3 linked regions of the Diceros bicornis minor genome follow. The protein of the gene in region 3 interacts with the protein of the main gene of each other region in a pairwise test. Links are inferred from orthologs where the notes say so. Each region holds a gene or a part of one and is shown on either strand. Other genes may lie near its edges. The genes, in order: GCSH, MTMR9 and NMI.

What was found.
Region 1: the proteins of NMI (region 3) and GCSH interact in binary tests that used the Homo sapiens proteins (3 or more experiments, as listed by UniProt). The two-hybrid records come from large-scale screens. The link is inferred for Diceros bicornis minor from reciprocal best matches to the Homo sapiens genes NMI and GCSH.
Region 2: the proteins of NMI (region 3) and MTMR9 interact in binary tests that used the Homo sapiens proteins (3 or more experiments, as listed by UniProt). The two-hybrid records come from large-scale screens. The link is inferred for Diceros bicornis minor from reciprocal best matches to the Homo sapiens genes NMI and MTMR9.

The regions. Positions count from the first base shown.
Region 1 is NC_080771.1:30,615,588-30,622,936, reverse strand, and holds the start of GCSH (glycine cleavage system H protein, mitochondrial), read left to right. Parts: upstream 1-4,272; 5' UTR 4,273-4,287; coding exon 4,288-4,435; intron 4,436-7,349. UniProt on the Homo sapiens protein: The glycine cleavage system catalyzes the degradation of glycine. The H protein (GCSH) shuttles the methylamine group of glycine from the P protein (GLDC) to the T protein (GCST).
Region 2 is NC_080750.1:62,993,936-63,001,559, reverse strand, and holds the start of MTMR9 (myotubularin-related protein 9), read left to right. Parts: upstream 1-4,605; 5' UTR 4,606-4,691; coding exon 4,692-4,873; intron 4,874-7,624. UniProt on the Homo sapiens protein: Acts as an adapter for myotubularin-related phosphatases. Increases lipid phosphatase MTMR6 catalytic activity, specifically towards phosphatidylinositol 3,5-bisphosphate and MTMR6 binding affinity for phosphorylated phosphatidylinositols.
Region 3 is NC_080749.1:35,229,358-35,236,646, reverse strand, and holds the start of NMI (N-myc-interactor), read left to right. Parts: upstream 1-4,267; 5' UTR 4,268-4,534; intron 4,535-7,289. UniProt on the Homo sapiens protein: Acts as a signaling pathway regulator involved in innate immune system response.

The sequences.
Region 1 (7,349 bases), on a different chromosome or scaffold from region 3:
CATGCTCCCTTGGAACGCTTTCCAGAGGAATCCTCTCTTCTAGTTTCTAGCATTTGCTAGCATCCTTGGCTTTCCTTGGCTTGTAGACGATGCATCACTCTAGTCTCTGCCTCTGTCATCACATGGCCTTCTCCCCAGTATGTCTGTCTCTGTGTCCCTTTTCCTCTTCTTGTAAGGACATTAGTCATACTGGATTAACGGCTCACCCTACTCCATTATGACCTCATCCTAATTAATTACATCTGCAACAATGCTATTTCCAAATTCAGTCACATTCTGAGGTACTAGGGGTCAGGACTTCAACGTATCTCTTTAGGGGACACAATTCAACCCATAACAGGTGTCATCCCCCAAAAATGTTTCTGGATCAAATGAATGTAGGAAACACTGGATTATAAATGGTTACACAAGGTCTTCAGCATGGGAATTGTCAGGGCTTTTAATATACTAACTGTGCACTGTGAGTCTCCTGGGCTGAGAAGAGCATGAGAGAGAAAGTGTGTAATGAACCCCAAACCTCTTTGACCACGGCATCCTGTACCGCAGCACCTCAGTCAGGGCTAGTGTTCCTTAGACGATGTTCTGAGAATTGCTGATCTACACCAGGGGTTTTCAACCTTGGCTGCATGCTGGAACCCCCAAACTTCATCCCAATACATCAGAATCTCCAGGCTGGGACCCAGGCATCAGTATTTTTTAAGCCCTCCAGGCGATTCCAACGTGCAGTCAGATTTGATAACCATGCTCTAAATTCTGAGAATTTAGAGAGATCTAGATAACAAAAAGCTTCCAGGTGTCTGTGTGGATAAGTGCACATTTCCTGTCCCCCATGCAGGGTGTCGGGGGAAGAGGGAGAATCTCCCTCTGCCCTTTCCCTTAAGGTTCTTCTGGCTGGCCAAATAATCAACAAGACAGGTTAGCAGGAGAAAATAATACCAAGTTTAACAACATGTATACATGGGAGAAACTCAGAAATGAGCAACTCGTCCCTCTGTCTAAGCTGCTTGCTTAAGTATTGCAGCTAAAGGCGAGGAATGTGTTGGGGGTGGGTAGTGGCCTGGGACTTCAGAGGGCAGGAGGACAATTCTTTTCAGGGTCATCTATAGATAATGTGGTCAGGGAGAGACAAAGTTTTTTGATAAAAGAGGCTTGGTGCCTTTCCTATTGTAACCTCTATCCTACATTATCTTTACAGCCATCATGATAGAAGATCTGTTCCAGGAAGGAGCCACCATGTCAAATTCTTTAGGCAGTTAGTGGCGGAGGTCAAATGTCCTTCAGAGAAAACAATCAAGGTAAAGAGATATATTTCAGGGTGGCCAAATCTTGATCTCCCACAAGGGCAAACCCCTCACATTTCCTCTGCAGGTCACCCTGTCTTATCCCTCCTCCTCACACTACTTCACACACCACGGTAGCAGATATTCTAGGTGCCTGCCCCAAATCCATCACACACTCTCTCCTCCTTGCTATCAGAATCCCGACTGGTTCAGATAGCCACCTACCCCTCCCCCACATGACTCATGGGAAGCTGACCCTGTAGCCACTTCAAGGTAAATCCTTGTCTTAGTAGTGGTAATCCATTTCCCTTGACAGTGAGTGCTTTAGGGTGGCCATATGACCCAGTCTGGCCAACAAAAAATGAGAAGAGGTCTCTAGGACACTTCTGGGAAAGGTCTGCTTACTAATAAAAAGAGACACATAGAGACAGGCTCTTATGCTGCTGGACATTGTCTGGTCCTGGAATTTTGGCAGTTACCTCGAGACCACAGGCAACAATCTGAAGATGGCAGAGTAGAAAGACAAGAGGAACACGCGTGCTTGATAAGGTCTTTACACAGCTGAGTTAATCAACCCTGGAGCTGAACTACTGCCAGCCATTCATCTGATTGAGACCTTAAATTTTTTTATGATGGTGAAATCAGGATCCTACCCCACTATCCTGACAATCAAAACCCAGGATCCTTTATAAACAGAGAGCTACATAACATGCAATATACATAAAACCTAGGGGATTGCATCATCTTCTATTCACTCAAAAGCCCATCATCCATTCTTTATCACGTCAGGTATGACCATGAGCTATATATGCAGAGATGCTCATCAAATAACCCATAGCAAGGTATACACATCTTCTGATAAACTGGTACAGAAACCTAAACCAGATAGATACAGTCAGTTTGTTTTAAGTAGGACAAGTTCTAAGATCTGGAGAAGTTGTAAGTTCTTCCTTTCTCTTTCTCATCTTGCCCATCTACTCTCCATTTCTCTGTTGTCTGTAAACATCAAACTGGCAACTCCTTCGACAGTACTGTTATGAGAGAAAAAAAAAATACATCTGCTCAAAGACATGGGAGGGCCCTTCTGAGACACCTGAAAGAAATGACCACTTTCAATTTTCAGATGCCTGTACCAAATGTGCAATGAGATGACTTTTCAAATCTCAAGCCATGGATGTCACAAAGATCACCAATTGAAAAAAATAATTTTATTATTATCCTCAATGTTTGTTAGACAAGAAAAACAAAAAAAGACACACTTCCTATTGTTGTGGTGGAAGGGCCTGTGATGTAGCCCACACATTGACATGTCATCTTGTTCTTCCCACCCAATGAGTTAGTGGAGCTGGGAATAAATATTTCAGGGCATAGCTTGCATTATGCAGCACTGGCTTGTAACAAAACAATAAAAACAGAATGCTGACATTATAGATGCCAGCCAAGATCTCAAGTTTAGAGCAGACCACCATGAGCCAGTCAGCATCCCAAACGGAGGAAAGTAGGACAGTGCTTAAGAGCAGCTGATTGCACATCAGAATGGAGGTCAAGTCCTGCTACTACCACCTAGTAGCTGCTTAAGCTATAAAATGCCTTCCCGTTCCCCTCCTGGGCAAGTTAGTCAACCTTTCTGAGCCTCCAGCTCCTCTTCTATGAAATGAGTGTGATACCTACCAGAAAGGGGTTTGGAGAGGATTAGAAAGATAATGTTTACCTAGTCCCAGGCACATAGCAAGGGCTCAATAAACGACCATTACTTACTCAGAGGAAAATGGAGCGTGACAGCCCTTGCAGGCCACTGCACAGATGTGCTGAAATCTCAATTTTTTAAGTGAGGCAGAAGCTCAGTGCAACAACAAATGGGCCTCCCGAACACACATACAAACACACACTCTTCAAGGTGCCCACCCTGTAATATGGAAGGTGTAGAGCTTGAGGTGTTTTTCACTCCAGTGTTTCTTTGCTGATTCACACCCACTCCATAAAATTTGTGTAGAAGGTGAGGTCCCTCCAGGAACTGAATGATTTTCTGTCTCCTTGGACAGGGACATGTCTTGCACATTTCTCAGAAGGCCTTGGGCAGGCCGGCTGCTTAAGCAAGGAACCGACCATGCTGGGTCTCAACTCCCTGCCTTTTGATTGCTCCTGCATGAGCTCACTGGCTCCAGTCCAGTCTCTACCAAGAGGCCACCCCCGACCCTTAGACAAGTCCTTGCCGCTCCATGAGCTTGGTGATTCTGTCTGACCTCTGTTTGGGGACCCTAGGCCTTTCAGGATCTGTAAAGGAATAAAGTGGGTTCCTAGATTGTTTTCAACATTTCGAAAAGTCAAAGAGAAACTGCATTTGCGTCAGCGCACCTTTGGCCAATGGCCAACAACCATCCTCGGCTGGAATGATTCTGTTTGCACCTGGCTATGAATCCCGCTCTGGGTGACCTTCATGCTCCGCAGAAGGGCGGGACCATACCCTTTAACAAGACTGGGAGCACCTCGCCTTCCCGAGGACCCCAGGGCCCAGTGGCACGGGAATGCACTAGCCAGGCAGAGCCAACCCGGCCCACAGCGCTGCTCACCGTCCCCGGCGCCCCCCGCGCCCTCCCCGGGGGGGTCGAGGAGCCGGGAGATACCGACCCACCGCTTCATTCGCCCGGAAACGACGCCCAGAGGCTAGGCCACGCCCATCTCGGGGAGGCCCCGCCCCGCCCCTCTGCAGGACGACCCAGCCCGGCCCCTGCCTGCCGCACTAGTCCCCGCCCCTCGCCCACCGCCCCTTCCGGGCCTCCGGCACTTACTAGTGTCCCAGCCCCCCGCGCGCCGCCCTATCAGAGGCCGCGCCCGGCCTGGAGTCCCCGCCCCTCCGCGCCCCGCGCCACCAGGCCCCGCCCCCGCGCCCGGGACCAGCCGGCTGGCTCCGGCTCGCTCCAGCCCGGGACCGTCCCGGGCCCCGCCCCCGCCCCCGCCGGCCGGGGCGCCTGTGGCGCTGCAGCGCGACCCCCGCACCTCTGCGAACATGGCGCTGCGAGCGGCGCGGAGTGCGCGGGCCGCGGCCTGCAGCCTGCGCGCCGCCTGGGCCCCCCCTCTGCCCTGCCCGCCGCGGCTCTGGGGGCTGAGGGCAGGCGCCGTCCGGACGCTGCGCACGGGCCCCGCTCTGCTCTCGGGTAAGCGCGGGCGGGCACGTGGGGCGAGCCGGGCCGCCCGGGGGAAGGGGTGGGCGCCCCGCTCCCCGCCTCGCCTCCCGCTGCCGACCGTCCCCGGTCAGGCGAGGCGACCCCTGCGCACGCCTCTTCTTGCTGGGGTGCCGAGTTGCGCGTCGCTGCTGCCGTCCCTGCGCCGCGCGGACGACGCGCAGCCTTTGTCCTGCGGGCTGGGCGCCCGACGGGGGCGGGGAGGAGGCCTGGGCGCGCGGCCGCCGTGTCCGCGCCGGTTCCCGCGGCGCCGGGGGACCGGGCAGGCGTCCCCAAGCGCCTTCGTAACCTTCGGTTACCTCGCGCGTGTGAGCATCTGGACCCTGAGAGTGGAGACAGATAATAGGCTTTAGCTTGCTGCCCGGACCATCACTGAGAACTCGGGAGTAGGAGTCAAGCAAGAGCAGTTACTGAAAGCAAAGCACTGCGGCTAGTGTCTTCCTAGCCAAAGCGAGCCTAACTTGGAAGACTCGGCTGTTTCCTAGATACAGGGAAACAGAGTCTTCTGCATTCTTCACAGAGACGTTTTGCTCAGGTCGATATTGAGTCATGGACGTGTGTTGGTGCTGAAATGAGGCCTAACTTAACGGACTTGGATAACTGCGAGACCTGCCCATAAATGTGGCCATCTCTGCTGCTTTAGCACAGTTATCGCAGCGGGAACACAGTTTTCTTACTTAGTGCGCAAGTGCTCGAGACACCAACTGCGCTTCCAAAATCTCAGGCTTCTTACTTAGGGAGCGTAGGTCTGTGATGGCTGTTGTCTCATTAAGCTCACTGTTTTAGAAACATGTTTGGGACTGGAAGAGTTGATAAGCTTATTTATTCCAAAGTCTGAAACATAAAGATGTTTATCCTCCTCCTTGCTAATGTAATCCCTCAGCTCTGTCGGTGCCACATATCAATACATTACCCATCTGAAAATCAGGGAAAAAGGCATTTCTCAGATAAGAATTGAATTTCAAGTCTATGTTTTTTTGTTATTCAGTGTTACACTATCGCTAGCTTTTTGTATTTTCCAGTTTCCTAGTTAAATATTGCCCAAAATATCAATACCCATGATCTGATTGAACACCTAGGTTTTTAATAACAGAGGCCTCAGTTCCAATTTTAGTTCCACCACTTGTGAGCTGTGTGATCTTGGGCGGAGTCACTTAATTTCTCTGAGTCTATTTTCCTCATCAGGAAAATGGAAATGATAATCCGGACCTAAGGACCTCACGGAGTTATCGGCAGGATCAAGTGAAATAATGTAACTGCTGTACATACAGCCTGACATGTAGCACTCGATAAATGTTACTTGTTATTAAATATTAGTGTACAGAATCAAACAGCAAAATATTGACCAATATTAATATATTTTATCTGATGACTCTGAAAAGAGGAACATGCAAACTTTTCATGAATTACTCAAAATGCCTAATTTTCTGAGGCCAAAAACCATGTTTTTCAAGGCTCAGTAAGAAAGTAATTATTTACCTAATCTCCTGTCTACTCTTTTCCTGTTGGGCCAAGGGTTAAAGGAGAATTGTCCTAATCATTGTCTTTAGCCTAAATAGCATGGCCTAGTAAAAAGACTTAGACTTTGAAGTGAAGTGGACCTAGGAGCATTTAGCTTAGTAATGTTGCTGCCTTTTCCTCTAAACTAGTGATTGCTCAGTTGCTAAACTGAACGTGAGAGCAGTCTTACTCCTAAGATTATCTTTACAATTAAGCAAGATGGCAAGGCCAAAATCAGGACAGTAGTCTCAGAGAAGTCATGTATTTATAGTTGTCCAGCGCTTATTTAAAAAGGCTTATCAAACTGCCAGTTCTAGAGTTGTAAGAGAATCATAGGGAGAATTGAATGTTGTAGCCAAATAACTATATATATTAGATATTTTGCTCAGAATCCCCTTTACTTTAAAAAATTACTTTACTCCAACTTTTGAGTGCTTCCTGTATGCCAAGCACTGTGTTGAGAACTGGGAATACAAAAGAGATCAACCCTGCTCTTGCTTGCTTTGTATTTACAGTTTACTTCCTGGGGGAAACTGAAAAATAGCCTGTGTCTGTAGCATGTTAAGTGCTGTGAGTATGTGTGTGGTGGGGGTCAGGGTGGGAGGAGAGCGGTGCACAGTGCTGTGGGAGCATGTTGGATGGCCCAGGAACCCAGGCTTGGAGGGCTATACAAGGCTTCTGGCAGGAAAGAGCTTCTAAGTTGAGTTCTGAAATAGTCAAGAAAAAACAGTTGGGAGAGTGTTGCAGTCAGAACACCAAGTACAAACCTTAAACCTTTCTTAGGGAAAGATCAGATTGACCTGAAGCGAGTATAAAATTAAGAAAGATTTTTAGTGATTGGGAGGAAAAAAGTACTAAGTCATACTCTTTATTTACATTGTGCTATGTAGCAGAGCTGTGTAATCAAAGCAGTTTGATGCTGTTTTAAGTACAACTATCTTTTGGGTAATGGGTAAGAGCGAACTAGCAAGGCTTACTTTAAAACAGTATTGGAGGGCTGGCCCCGTGGCTTGGCGGTTGGGTGCGTGCGCTCCGCTGCTGGCGGCCCCGGTTCGGGTCCCTGGCGCGCACAGACGTGCCGCTTCTCCAGCCATGCTGGGGCCACACCCCACATGCAGCAGCTGGAAGGATGTGCAACTATGACATACAGCTATCTACTGGGGCTTTGCGGGAGGGGGGGGGGGAATTAAAAAAAAATACATTAAAACAGTATTGGAATTAAGGAACCATTTTCCTATTAACTTGATTCATTATTTTTGGAAAAATACTTTGCTTCAGAATGTGATATATATATATAAGATGATAGCATATGCTTTTTAAAAAATTATTTATTCTTTAAAGCAAATTCTTTTAACATTAAATCCTCAATATTTTTTTCACATCTCTT
Region 2 (7,624 bases), on a different chromosome or scaffold from region 3:
TCTCATCAAAACGCTGCTATAAACATCTGCAAGACTAGCTAAAGTCACTCAGATTGGGGCAGGGGGAGGAGAGGTCAGGGTGGAATATGTTAAGTAAAATACAGGGAATCTGTTCACAAATATACACAGTGTCTATGAGGTATAGGCACTAAAGTAGATGCTGGGCCTACTGCAACAAAGAATGGTCCTTGCTGTCAAGGAGCTTATTGTCCAGTGGAACGTTATGGACACAGAAAGAGTCTATTTCAATACAGTTTATTAAGAGGTAAAATCAGAGAGAGTAACCAAGGTGGGCTCAGGTCTCATGGGTGGCAATGTAGCACGGTGGCGAAGAGCACAGAGTCTGCGCCCGACTGCTTGGGTCTGCATTCTGATTTCATCACTTATTGCTGTCTGACCATGGAAAAGTTATTAAGAGCTCTATGCCTCAGTTTCCTCATCAGTAAAAGAAGAATCATAACCAACATTAGAGAATTGTAGAAGGGCTACATGAGTCAATACATGTAAGGCATTTAGCACAACATCTGAACACAGAGTAAACACTCAAAAATATGATATATATATATGATATATGCTATATGTATCACATTTTTTTTTAAAGATTTTATTTATTTATTTTATTTCCCCCCAAAGCCCCAGTAGATAGTTTTGTGTCATAGCTGCACATCCTTCTAGTTGCTGCATGTGGGACGCGGCCTCAGCATGGCCGGAAAAGCGGTGCGTCGGTGCACGCCCGGGATCCGAACCCGGGCGGCCAGCAGCAGAGTGCAAGCACTTAACCGCTAAGCCACGGGGCCGGCCCTGTATCACATTTATATATTATATATATCACATAAAATGTGATATATATGTGTGTATACATATATACATATCATGTGGACTCCGTGGTTTTGAAGCCAATATAATGTGGAGCACATAGTTTTGAAGGGAAATCAAGGAAGGCTTCCTAGAGGCAGTGACATAGAGATGAGATCTGAAGGATGATAGGAATTAGCAGGTCAAGGGACAAGGTATTAGGAATGAGGTGAGTATATAATAGGCAGAAGGAACACCGAGATTCTTTAAAGCAGTGCTATCTCAAACTTTCATGTGCATAAAAATCATCTAGGAATCTTGTTAAAGGGCAGATTCTGATTCAGTAGCTATGGAGTGGAACATTTCTAACAAAGTTCCCAAGGAATGCTGATGATGCTGGTCCCTGCCCTACTCTTCCACTTGGTAAAAAGGTTCTGAGTGCAAAACCTCAAAAGGAAACTGTGAGCTATTTAAGAACAGTTGGCGTGAAAATCACAAGGAATGGGTTTATGTGGGCTGTTGCGCTGGGTAGGGAGGGAGGAGGAGAGATAAGATCTGCAATGCTGATCACTGCCTAAGGGGCTAAATCACAAAGGGACTTATAAGTTAAGAAAAGAAAAACAGAAACTTGGAACAGCAAATAGGGCTTTAGCTGCCAAGTGGAAAGATGGGTTGGAAGGGAACCCCACTAGAAGACAGGGAACCAACTGAGAGGCTTTTCCTGTTAAGTAACAGAACGTGAGAAACGATGGTGGCCTGAACTACGGCAGTGGCCTTGGGAATGGAGAGAAGCGGTGGAATTCAAGAGCTATTAGAAGATACAATCAACAATTTGGTGATTGATTTGCTTGGGGGATGAAGGGGATAGAGAACACAAGAAAGACATGCATGAGGTTATCAGGTTCGTTTCAAGTGCCTACAGTCCACGTATAATTACAAAGCACATGGAGAATAGCTGCTCATCAATGGCACACAGGCAGCGTCTTCTCCATTTTAGATGCTCCTTCTACTTTTGGCAATTTTTGACCTGCTTTCTTCAAACTACCTTCAAACTGCCTCAATTTCTACTAACTACTCAAGGCCTAGTAGAGAAACACAAAACTAGGCAAGTAAATCTGTACTCCAAAATTTAGCACTTACTCTCTTATTTTGTTCATTAGTTGTGTGGGTGTGTCGGCCTTCCCAAATGAGCTATTACTTTTGGAGGGCAAGGGCTGTGTCAAATCTGTTGTTTCCATTTCCCACAGTGCTGATGAACAAGTCAGCACTTAATACATGCTGGCTGACTATTTGACAGAATAACTTCTAGAAGATTACCTATCAATGCTGTTTATTATCTCACAAAAGATGATAAAAATAATAATATTTGTAAGGTGTTGAGTGCTTTATATGAATTATAAATGCCATCACCTTCTTTGGTTTATCAGAATCCTCTGAGACCTTTACATCCAGGGAATTTGGATAATGACTTTGACTAAAGCTTCATTGAATCATGTCAACGGAATGGAAGCCTATCCCATTACCTCGAACTCTACTGCCATCTACTGCTCATGTAGTAAGTTAACATATTGTGGTCCCCACTCCCTCCATTCTTGACTATTGAATCTTCGTTTTCTTGAGATCTCAATGGCTTTCTATGCTGAGCTTCAACCTAGAGTAGATGTAATTTTCTGAAAGTTTACCGTGTTCCGTTATAACAACCCAGCATGATATTGATAATTTCTCTCGTGGGCAAAAAGTTTATGTCTTTACAGAACATTAAACATTTTAAATTTAATGACACAATAGTCCTTTCATAGGCTTTTTTTTTCTTCTGGAAATCTAAAAGAAAAAAGTCATGAAATTTCTGAAGAATTTTTCCTTAGCTCTGGTAGATATCATTAAACTTGACATCTATCTTGGTTACACTCCCACTTAGGGTGTAAATCCTACTCATCCTTCAATGTCCTCCTTTCAAATGATACCTTTTCTGTAAAACTTTCCCTGATTCTTCATTCTGGAAGTAAATTCTCCCTTCCACAACTGGTAATTGTTATAATGAACCACATAGTGGAAGGACAACAAAAATTCCAATTAAAAAAATAGCTTTATAAGTTATTTCCCCTCATTCTCGCTTCTCTGTTGGTTCCTGTTTTTCTTTTGCAGACAAATAAAATAAAACGAGACTCAGGTGTAACAATCTTATAAACCGTTTTGTTTTAAGAAGAGAACATTTGGGGCCAGCATGGGGGTGTAGCTGTTAAGTCCTCCTGACCCGCTTCATCAGCCCCGGGTTCCCCCAGTTCCCATCCTGGGCACTGACCTGCACACTGCTCATCAAGCCACGCTTAGGCAGCATCCCACACAGAGCAACCAGAACCATGTACAACTATGACATACAAGTATCTACCGGGGCTTTGGGGAGAAAGAAGGGAAAACAAGGAGGAAGATTGGCAACAGATGTTGGCTCAGGGCCAATCTTCCTCAAAACAAAAAAAGAGAAGACGACCAGAACATTTTAGGAAGGGCAAGGACAAAAGCAAGGACATGTGTTGGGTGATGATGAGATTTGAGGCAATTTATTTTGTCTTTGCTGTGAGACTTTTGCCAACTCGCTGTTCTTAGGTACTAGATGGTGAGGATTTCAAAGGTTAATGAAGTGACAGCAGACTGGGACTCAAACCCTTATATATTTCCCCCCTAATTCCCTATCTTAGAATGAAAATGACAGTTTAAGGGGAGAACGGCACCAAGCAAGGAAAACTAATTTGAGTAAACTTCTGGCATAATCTAGGTGTCTGGGAGTAGTTCAGTCGGGTTGTATTTCATGGGGAGGCTGTGCGGTGGTGACCAATGCCCCAACGCCTTGGATTTCATAGATCTAGATGGAAGTCCGGCCTTTGCTACAGACTAACTGCGCTTTAGCAAGTCGCTTGAGCTTCCTCCCAGGACAGGATTAGTCACTTCCCCTTCTGTGCACTGTACGTACGTCTACCTAGGTGCCTCTCACGGGTGTCTGTTCCCCTCCGTCTGGGTCAAGGTCACAGCACCCCGGCGCGGCGCTCTCTGGGAGTCCGCGGCGCCCGCCCCGTGACCCGCCCTTACCCCTGGCGGCTTCTCTGGAGTCAGTCACCGATTCGGTCCCACCCTTGCCATCTCTTCACGGCGAATGGGTGAAAATCGCTGCAATTTACGGCAGCCCCACCCTCAAGAGAGCCCTTGGAGGGATGACTACTCGAGTGGAGGGAGGCAGGTCAGCGACCTCTTCTCGTCACCCCATCGTCCCCGGCCTTTTACGAACAGTATTTGGAGGGGGTGGAGGTGCAGCGGTGGGCGTGAAGGCCAGAAAGAACTTTTTCCTGGTAGGAACACAAATCTTCGATTCTCGCTGTTTCCGGAAGCATTCTTATGGGACCTAGGCGGGGACCGACTTCCGGCTCTGACTTCCCCGTCCTCCAGGTTTCGAGCTCCGCCGCTTCCGCCCGGAGTTGCTCTAGGCTCCGGCTGCGAGCAGCTCCTTCCGTCAGGAGTCCCTAGCGGCTCGGACTTGGAAACTGGCCCTAAAGCGGCCTCCTCCGTCTCCCCTCGGCCTGTCCGCCGGAGGCCGGGTCCCCAGGAGACGGCGGCTGCGGCTGGGCCTGTGGCGGAGCGTTCTCTCTGGCCGAGCCCCGGGCCTAGAGGGAGCGGGAGCTGCGGGGGAAACGCCCCGGCCTGGCCCAGCCCCAGCGCGGGCTTCCCGCGGCCAGTGACCGTGGCCACAGGCCTCGCCGCGCCCACTCCGGCCTGGGGCGGGGCCCGGCCTCCCCGCCCCTCCGGCCAGCCCAGCGCCGGGTCCTTCTCCGCCTCAGCCCCGCGGCGGTGTAACCGCCTAGCACGCACGCCACCCGGCAGTGCCCCGGCTCCGGCTGCTGGGGAACATGGAGTTTGCGGAGCTGATTAGGACCCCACGGGTGGACAATGTGGTGCTGCACCGGCCTTTCTATCCCGCCGTCGAGGGGACCTTGTGTCTGACTGGCCACCACCTGATCCTGTCCTCCCGGCAGGACAACACGGAGGAGCTGTGGCTCCTCCATTCAAACATCGACGCCATCGACAAGCGGTGAGTCCCGTCCCACCTTCTCTTCCGCGGGAGCCTGGGTTCCCGGGTGGACCCAGCGCCCAGCCAGCCCGCAGAACGAGCCCTCTGTGGCCTGGGTTGAGGATTTGAGTTTTAGAAAGCAGAAAACCATCCAAATGAGATACCCGGTTTCCATGAAGTCTGGATGGAATTCCCAGGGTTATCACATGTTTATTGTCCTCGCGATTCTCATTTTTGGTACATACACCATTTGTGTGGATTTTTAACGTTTTCTTTTTAAATTTCTTCTTGCACCATTACATTCCTTGAATATTAATCGTCTATCACAGTTCATGAAGTTGTGATTGAATGTGATTTAGGTAAAGTCTTTACTGGCCACTTTTGAGGAAAACTCAAAGAACTCAGATGTAGTGTCTAAATTCCACAGAACCTTCCCCCCCCTCAAAATTCTTCAGTTTATCATATTTCTCCTAATTCTTACTTTCTGGGTCATCAGTTTAGTAGTTCCCACTATGGGAGATTATAATATCTTTTATGTATTTATCTTTACTCAGTTCTGCTTTTGGAAAGAACAGAGTTGGCTCTTAAGCAAAGGTATTAATTAATTAACTTTTTTTCCATGCACCCTAGACTCTGTCTTTCTAAGGTAGTGTCTCAGAGTCAAAAAGTTATATTTCCATCTGCGGTCAAAATTCCCATTTCCCCAATAGCTCTGTGTACTTAGTCTAGCCAGGAGAAGATAAATAGATTATCCAATTTATACTAAAGTATAAATGAATGACAACAGCTTTTCTATTATCTTTCAGGAGAATTTGAATATAAAGAAGATTCCTAGAGAGGTTATGTGTTAACAGAAAAAAATTTCCAATGGTAGAATTTGAAACAGTAAGAGTGAAGTGGTGATAGATTTATTTTTCCGAGCAGAGGGCTCCTACTACAGTCTTCTTCAGGTCACCTTCTCCTTTGTAAAAGTTTTCAGTGGTCTCTCCTTGCCTGCATAATAAAGTCTTAAACCCCTTAGTCTGTCATTCATGGCAAGCCATGTTTTGGCTCTAAGCTATGTTTCCTACCTTAGTTCTTGCCATTCATTTTCATGAACCCTTTTCACTAGCCAGTCCTCACTCTTTATTTTGCTCATGCATATGCTGCATTCTCTCATGTCTGTATTTTACCGACACGCTTCCTTCTGCCTGGAATGCCTTGCTCCTCCCAAGCTTGTTAAACATTTATTGAATGTCGTTATGGTCCAGACATTTTGTGAGGCATTAAGGACACCAAGATGAATGAAATATAGTTCTTGTCTTTCAGGAGTTGATAGGCTACCATCCAACTGTTACCCATCTATCAATATTCAGTTTAACCATTTCAACTGCCAGCTCTTTCACACATTCTTCTGTTAATCCCACAACCAGAAGTAATTTCCCTCACCTTGGAATCCTGTAGCTCTTTAATTATACCTCTTTCATAGGTGTATATTAAAATTTGTATTTTGATAGTTGCATGTATGTTAGCTCCTTGAAGCAAGGACTTGCATTTGGTTAATTTTTATTTCCTTCAAAACTCCTCTGACTTGGGTGGATAGGCACATTGGAAATAAACAAAGAATTGACCACTGAATGGTCATTGGTGGCATAGAATACAAATTAGAGTTTCTCCATGCCATCAACTCTCTTGCTTATTTAACTTTTTTTGTGGTTGCTCTTCACTCTTTCATTTCATCATATTTACCTAGCATTTACTACATGGTGGGCCTGGTAGGGCTTAAAGAAGTATATAAGACATGGACCTTTTTTTTTGTGTGTGAGGAAGACCAGCCCTGAGCTAACATCTGTGCTAATCCTCCTCTTTTTGCTGAGGAAGACCAGCCCTGAGCTAACATCTATTGCCAATCCTCCTTTTTTTCCCCCAAAGCCCCAGTAGATAGTTGTATGTCATAGTTGCACACCCTTCTAGTTGCTGTATGTGGGGCGCGGCCTCAGCATGGCCGGAGAAGCCGTGCGTCGGTGCGCGCCCGGGATCCGAACACGGGCCGCCAGTAGCGGAGCGCGCGCACTTAACCGCTAAGCCACGGGACGGCCCAGACATAGACCTTTTTAATCTGCTAGAGGGGAAATGACAAACTGTGCACACGTTTATCTTTTTCCTGGGAAGCAGCATGATGTAATGGAAAGAGCATGAGCTAGGTGGTCAGATCAGAGTTTGTTTAATTGTTGCTTTCAAGAAATATTTACTTCCATGTGTCTTGTAGGTGCTGAGCACTGTCTTGGCTCTGCAGATGCAGTGGTGACTAAGACAGACTAGGAGCTTATGTATTAGTGGGGGAGATGAACATTCAAGTTAATCAACAAATAAATATATAACAATGTCAGGTAATAAGTGCCAGGAAGGAAAATAAAGGAAGATGAGAGGATAGAGAATGCCAGGAGGCAGTGTATTTACAAAGAATTTCAGAGAAGACAAGTGACATTTGAATGAATGACATCCAAATGAAGGGAGGAAGCTAGCAGTGTGAATACTGGAGGAAAGAGCATTCCAGCCAGAGGCAACTGGGAATACAAAGACCTGAGACAGGAACTTATCTGGCATGTACCAGGAAGAACCAAGACTCCAGTGGCTGGAGGCCAGTGAGCAAGGAGTAGAGGCTAGGAGGATGGCAGAAACTGGTTGGAGGGGTAAACAGGGGCCAGATCCTGTAGGACCTTACATGCTGTTGTGATGGTTTTCATGGGGAGCCCTTGGAGAGTTGAAAGCAAGGAAGTAGCAGCTGATAGA
Region 3 (7,289 bases):
CACAGGGCCGGCCCATATTTCAAAATATTTGATCTATCACAATATTTTATTCACTTATACAAACTTATTCATACTCACTAATATGAAAGCTTATACAAAGGGGTTATAACATTGGGCCCAGAGTATTTGACTCTTACTCTTGTATCTAACCACTACTTAGAAATGAGTATATAGCAAGTACTAGATATAGTCACTGTACTAGTAACTGTAGATGACAGGAAAGAAATAAAAAATGATCTTTGCCTTAAAAGTACTTCTCCAGGTAGGAAGATAAAGCAGAAGAAATGTGCAGGAAAAAAAAATTCTCACCAATGGGTAACAGCTTCCATTTATTGAGACTTACCAATGGCTAAGGCACTGCACTTAGCAGTTGACATGTAGTAGTATCTCACTCACAACAGCCTCATTTCACAGATGAGAAAACTGAGGCAGGGAAACTTCAGTAACTTGAAATTAGTATTGAAACCCACATCTGAGATCAAAACCATGCTCTTAACTGTATAGCACTGCATGCCTGACAGAGTAAGGGATGGGGTACTTATTTTACTTTCCTTTTTTTTTTAATCAGTTGTCTACTATTTTATTTATTTTTTTCCAGCTTTGTTGAGATATAATTGAGGTTGAGATATAATTGACATATAACGTTGTGTGAGTTTAAAGTATACAACATATTGATTTGATACATTTATATATTGCAAAATGGTGTTGATTTAATACACATATATTGCAAAATAGTGTTGATTTAATATATTTACATATTGTAAAATAGTGTTGGTTTGATACACTTATATATTGCAAAAATAATTACCACCACAACATTAGCTAATACCCCCATCACGTCACATAATTACCATTTCCTTTTTTGCTATGAGAACATTAAGATTTACTCTCTTAGCAACATTCCTTTACTTTTACATTTTCCAGTTGCAAACCTCTGGAAAACTAGATGATGTTACATAATTTCCTGGTGTCCCCCAGGGTCTTGCACAATGCTGGGCACGTTCTAAGTGTTTCAGCTTCCCCAAGAATGAAATGCAAACTGGATCACCAAAATCTTGGCAACAGTAGCAAAAGCTTGGTGTATAAGACCTTTTCTAAAAACAAGAGCACAATATAAAGGATATCAGATGGTTTTCTCCTGGTTTGCATACCCACCAAACTTGTGGTGGCTCCGAAGCTGTTTCATGCCTCTGGGATTTTTCACTTGAAATTTTGTCTCAGCCCACCTCATCTAATTTGAAGAATCCACTTAATTTTCACCTCTTCTGTGGAAGAAACGTCTCTTGATCTCCTGAGATTGAGGGGACTACTTTCTCCTTTATGATTTTTTTTGTTTTTTTTTCTGGTGAGGAAGATTGTCCCTGAGCTAACATCTGTGGCAATCTTCCTCTGTTTTGTATATGGGACATTGCTACAGCATGGCTTGATGAACAGCATGCAAGTCCATGCCCAGGATCTGAACCTGCAAATCCCGGGCCACCCAAGCAGAGTGCACGAACTTAACCACTATATCACGGGGCTGGCCCCTTCTTTGTGTTTTGCTATGCCTGGTATCCTACCTCTTCATAGCACACACTGCACTGTATGTAACACTGGTCTGTGTGTGTGAATTTATAGGGAATCTGGGAGGAGTTCATTACCATTTGGTGGAGAGATAAATGTGTAACATAACATACATCTCATATCATTGCGGTATAGATTTACATGAGCTGTCCAAGGCATCTCATATGTGACATAATATTTATTGAGTGCATTATAGACACTCAATAAATAATAACTTTAATATTAAGACATGGTATAATTTAGTGTGCGGAAAGAAAAAGTTTTCCTCTACCCTCTTAGGGTTCCTGGCTGGGTCTGAAAATTAAACCGACAAAGATAGATTTACAGAAGAAAAGCATACAGATTAATATAAGTTTTATATGACACGAGAGTCTTCATAAGGAAACAAAGACCAGAAGAAACAGTTAAATCTGACTATTTTTATGCTGGGTTTGATGAAGAGTGGGCAGTCATGGAGGAATATGATGCGTCAAGGAGCATGAGGTAAGTGCAGTAAACTGGGGGAGACTCAGCAAGGCCTGTTTGTTAGGATTCGTCTCGGCATCCCTTTGTCTTCAGAAATAAGGATGCTCCTTTCCTCCAGGTATAGAGAGGGCACCTCTCACACGAGGGTTTTATGACCTGTTTCAGAGAAGGATGGTGGGAGGGAGGGAAAGGTCAGAGTGACCTTCTTGCTTCTGTTTTCTCAAACTTCTTCAGCTTAAACTATTCAATATGCCAAGGTGCCACATTTGAGGGTAGCATGTCCTGGACCCCATCATTAGTAAAATTACCCCATTAGAAACTCTTCAAGATTTTAATAGCTGCTCCTTGAACAAAAGGATTTAGTGGTCAAATTAGTTCAATAAATTCAAGGTTGAATAAAGTTAAACTTTTTCATGTGTGCTTTAATTTTTCCTGCAATACTTCTCAAAATTCTTTTTTTTTTCTTTTTTTTTTGTGAGGAAGATCAGCCCTGAGCTAACATCCATGCCAATCCTTCTCTTTTTGCTGAGGAAGACCAGCTCTGAGCTAACATCTATTGCCAACTCTCCTCCTTTTTTTCCTTCCCTTTTTCTCCCCAAAGCCCCGGTAGATAGTTGTATGTCATAGTTGCACATCCTTCTAGTTGCTGTATGTGGGGACGAGGCCTCAGCACGTCTGGACAAGCACGCTAGGATCCAAACCCAGGCCGCCAGTAGCGGAGCTCGCGCACTTAACCACTAAGCCACGGGCCGGCCCTGCTTCTCAAAATTCTTAATGTGCTATTGTGCATTGTGACTCTCCAAAAGTGAATTAAGTATGCAGCATAACCTAATCATAGTTGGCCGTAGAATTCCTTCATCTTTAAACACCATAAAACACAGTGTGGAGACACTGATTTTATGGTTGAGAGTAGAGTATGACATCAAAGTCATTACATATTAATTGCTTGATTTGGGGTCACCTCTTTAATGCTTAGTTTCCTCATCTGCAAAATGGGAAGAATACCTATACCTCATACTGTTGTTGGCAAAATAAAAAGGATATTAAATGCCCAGGAGTTCTCAGTAGATGTTAGCAATTAAAATTGTTACTAATATGTCCAGGAACTGACTATTCATCTTTAGAACTCCAGCACTTTGCAGAATACTAGATTTGAAGCTGAGTTGAATTCGTATTGTTACACATGGCTTGGCTTTAGCATGTTGGTAGCCAAAAAGGCTTCGCTACTACCTGTATCCTTTGCCCTTTCACAGGATCTGAGTCAATATCAGATCAGCTCTGTTCTGGCCATGGTCCTGCTCCTTAGTATCTTCTTATAAAAAACAAAAACAAGATCAAAGAAGAAATGAGGTTGAACTAAATAACCTCTCAATTTCATGCTCTCTAAATTTCTAAGGTAGAACGACATTAATTCTCAACTTGTGACAGATGAAGTTTTTGTACTTTCAAACTGAGCTGATGAGCACAAAAGCCCTTATCACGCACCACTTGATTTTTTTCACTTAATTCACTTTTAACTGATTCCTATCACTATTCTTGATCTAAAGGAATTTGGCTTTTGTTAATCTGTCATTTTAGACTGCTATATCGGTTATTACATATGAGTATATAGCATTATACACTAGAAATCATTTTGATGCATCTCCTTCCTGACCTCTATTTACCAGCAAGTACAGCTGTGGGGTGGTTCTTGGTGTAGAATTAAGAGACACTGCAGTTCTTGAAATAAGCCAGACGTTTTTATTTTCAAAGGAAAAGATCACACCTAGTGAAGCATTTATTTACAAGCTTCACAACAAAACAAAAGATTGTAAGACAATTTTCAAGGGACGTGGGTCATAGAAACCAACTGAACACCACAGCTTTCCCAACCTCATGGCCCAGAGGACGCTGCAAAAGACACACAGACGAGCTGATCTTGTGCTGGTTGTAAAAATTTGTAGATTAAGGTTATAAAGACAATAAATTACAATGAGAGTTACAATCTGGGGAGAGACGCCTGCTTTGACGTTATTTTGTTTCAGTCCACTTTTCCAACCGTATGTCCAGTAATATACACACACACACAAGAGTGTTTTTTAAGACATGTCCTGAAATTAGTGTTTATGGACACTTCAGGAAAACTTTTGGGATAGATTCCCCCAAAACAAAAACAAAACAAGCAATTTTTAGAAATCGAAAGTGAAAATGGTTATAACTTGTTAGTGTTTAACCAGTTACTGGAGACACCAGGTTTGCTATTCCGAGCGGTGGTTAGTTTTTTCACTAACCACTACTTGAGCACAGTTTTCTTTTCCTTTTCTTCTTCTTCTTTTTTTTTTTTTAAGGAACAAGCTGTTAATCCGAGTGACACCCACTTGCAACGGCACCTCGGATCTCCCGAGGCGCTTCTGGATAAGGCAGCACCAGCCTCGGGGACCTGGGACATCCGGCGCCGACCCCCGAGGTTTCCCGGAAAGGCGGGCGCGCTGGGCCCCGCGTTGCGGCGCTCGACGGGCCGAGGCAGGTGAGTGGGGCTCCCGGTTCCCCGGCTGCCGTCCCTGCTCCTGGTAGCCCCGGGCTACCGAGGCCCTGGGTCGGGAGCGAGGCGCATTCCGCGGCGCCAGGGACCGCGCGCAGAAGGCGGCTCTGCGCCCCCCGCGCCCCCGCGCCCCACCCCCCGCAGCCTGGGTCGCTGTGGCGACAAGCTGCCGAGAGGGCGCGCCTGCCCCTGCGCCCACGGTGCCTTCTGGGTGCCGGCCAGGCCTCTGACCCCGTCTCCTTGGTGTGCTTTGCTTCATTCTGGAAACTGAAACTTAAAACCACTGTGTTTCCTCAACGTTCTTCTAGTGTCTCCCGAGATAGTTCTTAGGAAAACTGATGCCTTGAGATTTACTCTCCTTGGCAGGCGCAGGGTTTGGCAGTCTTTCCTCACGTTTCAGAATATTCAGGGTTTTTCTTGAAAGAGACATCCAAAGGAGAACACCATGTTTCCCTGTCTGTATAACATGCATAAGTTTTTTTAAAACTATATATGTTTATCACTATTTTATTAATTACCACCTCCTGCCTTCCTTCCCCTCGTTTCCTTTCTTTTTGCTGCCAGATATGGGAAGATTGGATTCTATCAGGCCTGCCACCGCAGTGATATGAGTATAGTAGGAAAACAGGTGGTGGATAGATGGTGGTGATTTGTATTGGTTTTTTCATTCACTACCATAACAAATTATCACGGATTTAGTGGCTTAAAAACCACAAAGTTATTATCTTAAAAATCTGCAGGTTAGAAATCTGACCTGGGTCTCACTGGGCTAAAATAAGGTGTCTGCAGGGCTGCCTTCCTTTCTGGTGGCTACTGGAGTAAATCTGTTTTCCTGCCATTTCCAACTTCTACAGGATGCCCACCTTCCTTGGCTCAGTGGTACCCTTTTTCAATCTTCAAAGCCAGCAGCGTGCCATCTGACGATTATTATGTTGTCACATCTCACTCTGACTCTGCTCTTCTGCCTTCCTCGTTCACTTTTAAGGACCCTGGTGATTACATTGGGCCCATGGAAAATTCAGGATGATCTCCATATTTTGAAGTCAGCTGATTAGCAACGTTAATTCTCTTTTGCAGTGTAACCTAACATACTCACAGATTCTGGGGATTAGGATGTGGGCATCTTTGGGAGGGTTGTTATTCTGCCTACGATCTGATTGCATAAAAGGAAGCCTATTACTGTACATCCCGCTGATGCAAAGAGAGGACAGTATTGAGATACTAAATATGTTGCAAAAAGTTCTGGGGGTGTCATGTAGTAGACCATTTATAAGAGTTAAATATATTGAGAGCCTTTATTACAAGCTCTTAAGAATATTGACTTTAAAAAAAGCAATTAAATAATGTTGCAGTTTTTGCTTTCTGGAAATGTGATAAGAGAACTTCATATGCGTGGATGTCCTGAGCAGAACAACTACCTGAGTCAAGATACTGCACGATTCTCTAAATATTGAGTATTTTCAATGTGTAAGCTCGTATTGTGCTCTAAATGGATGCAAGGAGGAGTAGACGTGGTCCCTGGCCTCAAGGTCGTGACCGTCTAATCATGGAAAATGACACAGGTACACAAATAAGTAAAGCTCCCCAAAAGAGGTAAAAGAGGGAGAACTAATGTCCCTTGGGGGAATCAGAAAAGGCTTCAAGAACTTGGCAGAAATTTGGGATGGACCTTGAAGAACAGTAGGATTTCATTAGGTGGAAATTAAGGTTGGGAGGGGTGGAAGGATGAGACATATTGAGGGACAAAAGGGAGAAGAGGGACCCTTCGAGTGTTCAGTGTGGTTAGGAGACTTAGTCTAGGAGTTGTCTAAGAAAGACTAGAAAATAAATTGGAGTTAGATTGTGTAAGACCTTGGATGAATGTTGGAGGCCGTCATAAGGATTCTGCAGTTGTTGATGTAATAGGGAGCTACTAATATATATGTTTTGAAACCATCTCAAACTTACAGAAAAGTTGCAAGTACGATACAAACAACCTTTCTTTTTCCTGTAAGTTTCCAAATTCTTGAGTATACGTTTCCTACAAAAAAGGTATTCTTTGTATAACCACAATACAGTGATCAAAATCAGGAAATTAATATTGACACATTGCTGCCATCTAATCCTTGGATCCAATTCAAATTTTGCCAGTTGTCCCAATAATATCTTGTGTAACAAAAGGACACAGTTCAGAATCATGCATTGCATTTAGTTGTGATGTCTCTTTCATCTCCTTCTGCCTAGAACAGTTTCTCAGTCTTTCCTTGGCTTTTTTGAACTTGACACTTTTGAAGAGAACAAGCCAGTTTGTCTAACGTTTCCTCATGCTTAGATTTAGATTATGTATCTTTGGCAGGAATATCATAGAAGTCATGCTTTGTTCTCAGTGCAGCCTATCAGATGGCAGATGATTTATCTCATTATTTACTTTGATTATTTTATTCTGGTGGCATCTGCCTGGCTTCTTCACTGTGAAGTTACACATTTCCCCTTTGAAATTAATAAATATTTTGTGAGGAAGGATTCTGAGACTAACTAAATGGTCCTTTCCCCACCAAAATTTCAATTTATATATGTCTGTATGTATGTCAGTATGGACTCATAGTTTTCTATTTTACTCAGTGGATTTAATTATTACTGTCATTATTTATTTTTATGATTAATTTATTCTCAGATTTGTCCAGTGAGAACTTCCTCAAGCTGGATTTTCTGTCTTTTTGACATGTTCTCATCATTCTTTGAGCACTTTCTTGCTTTCTGA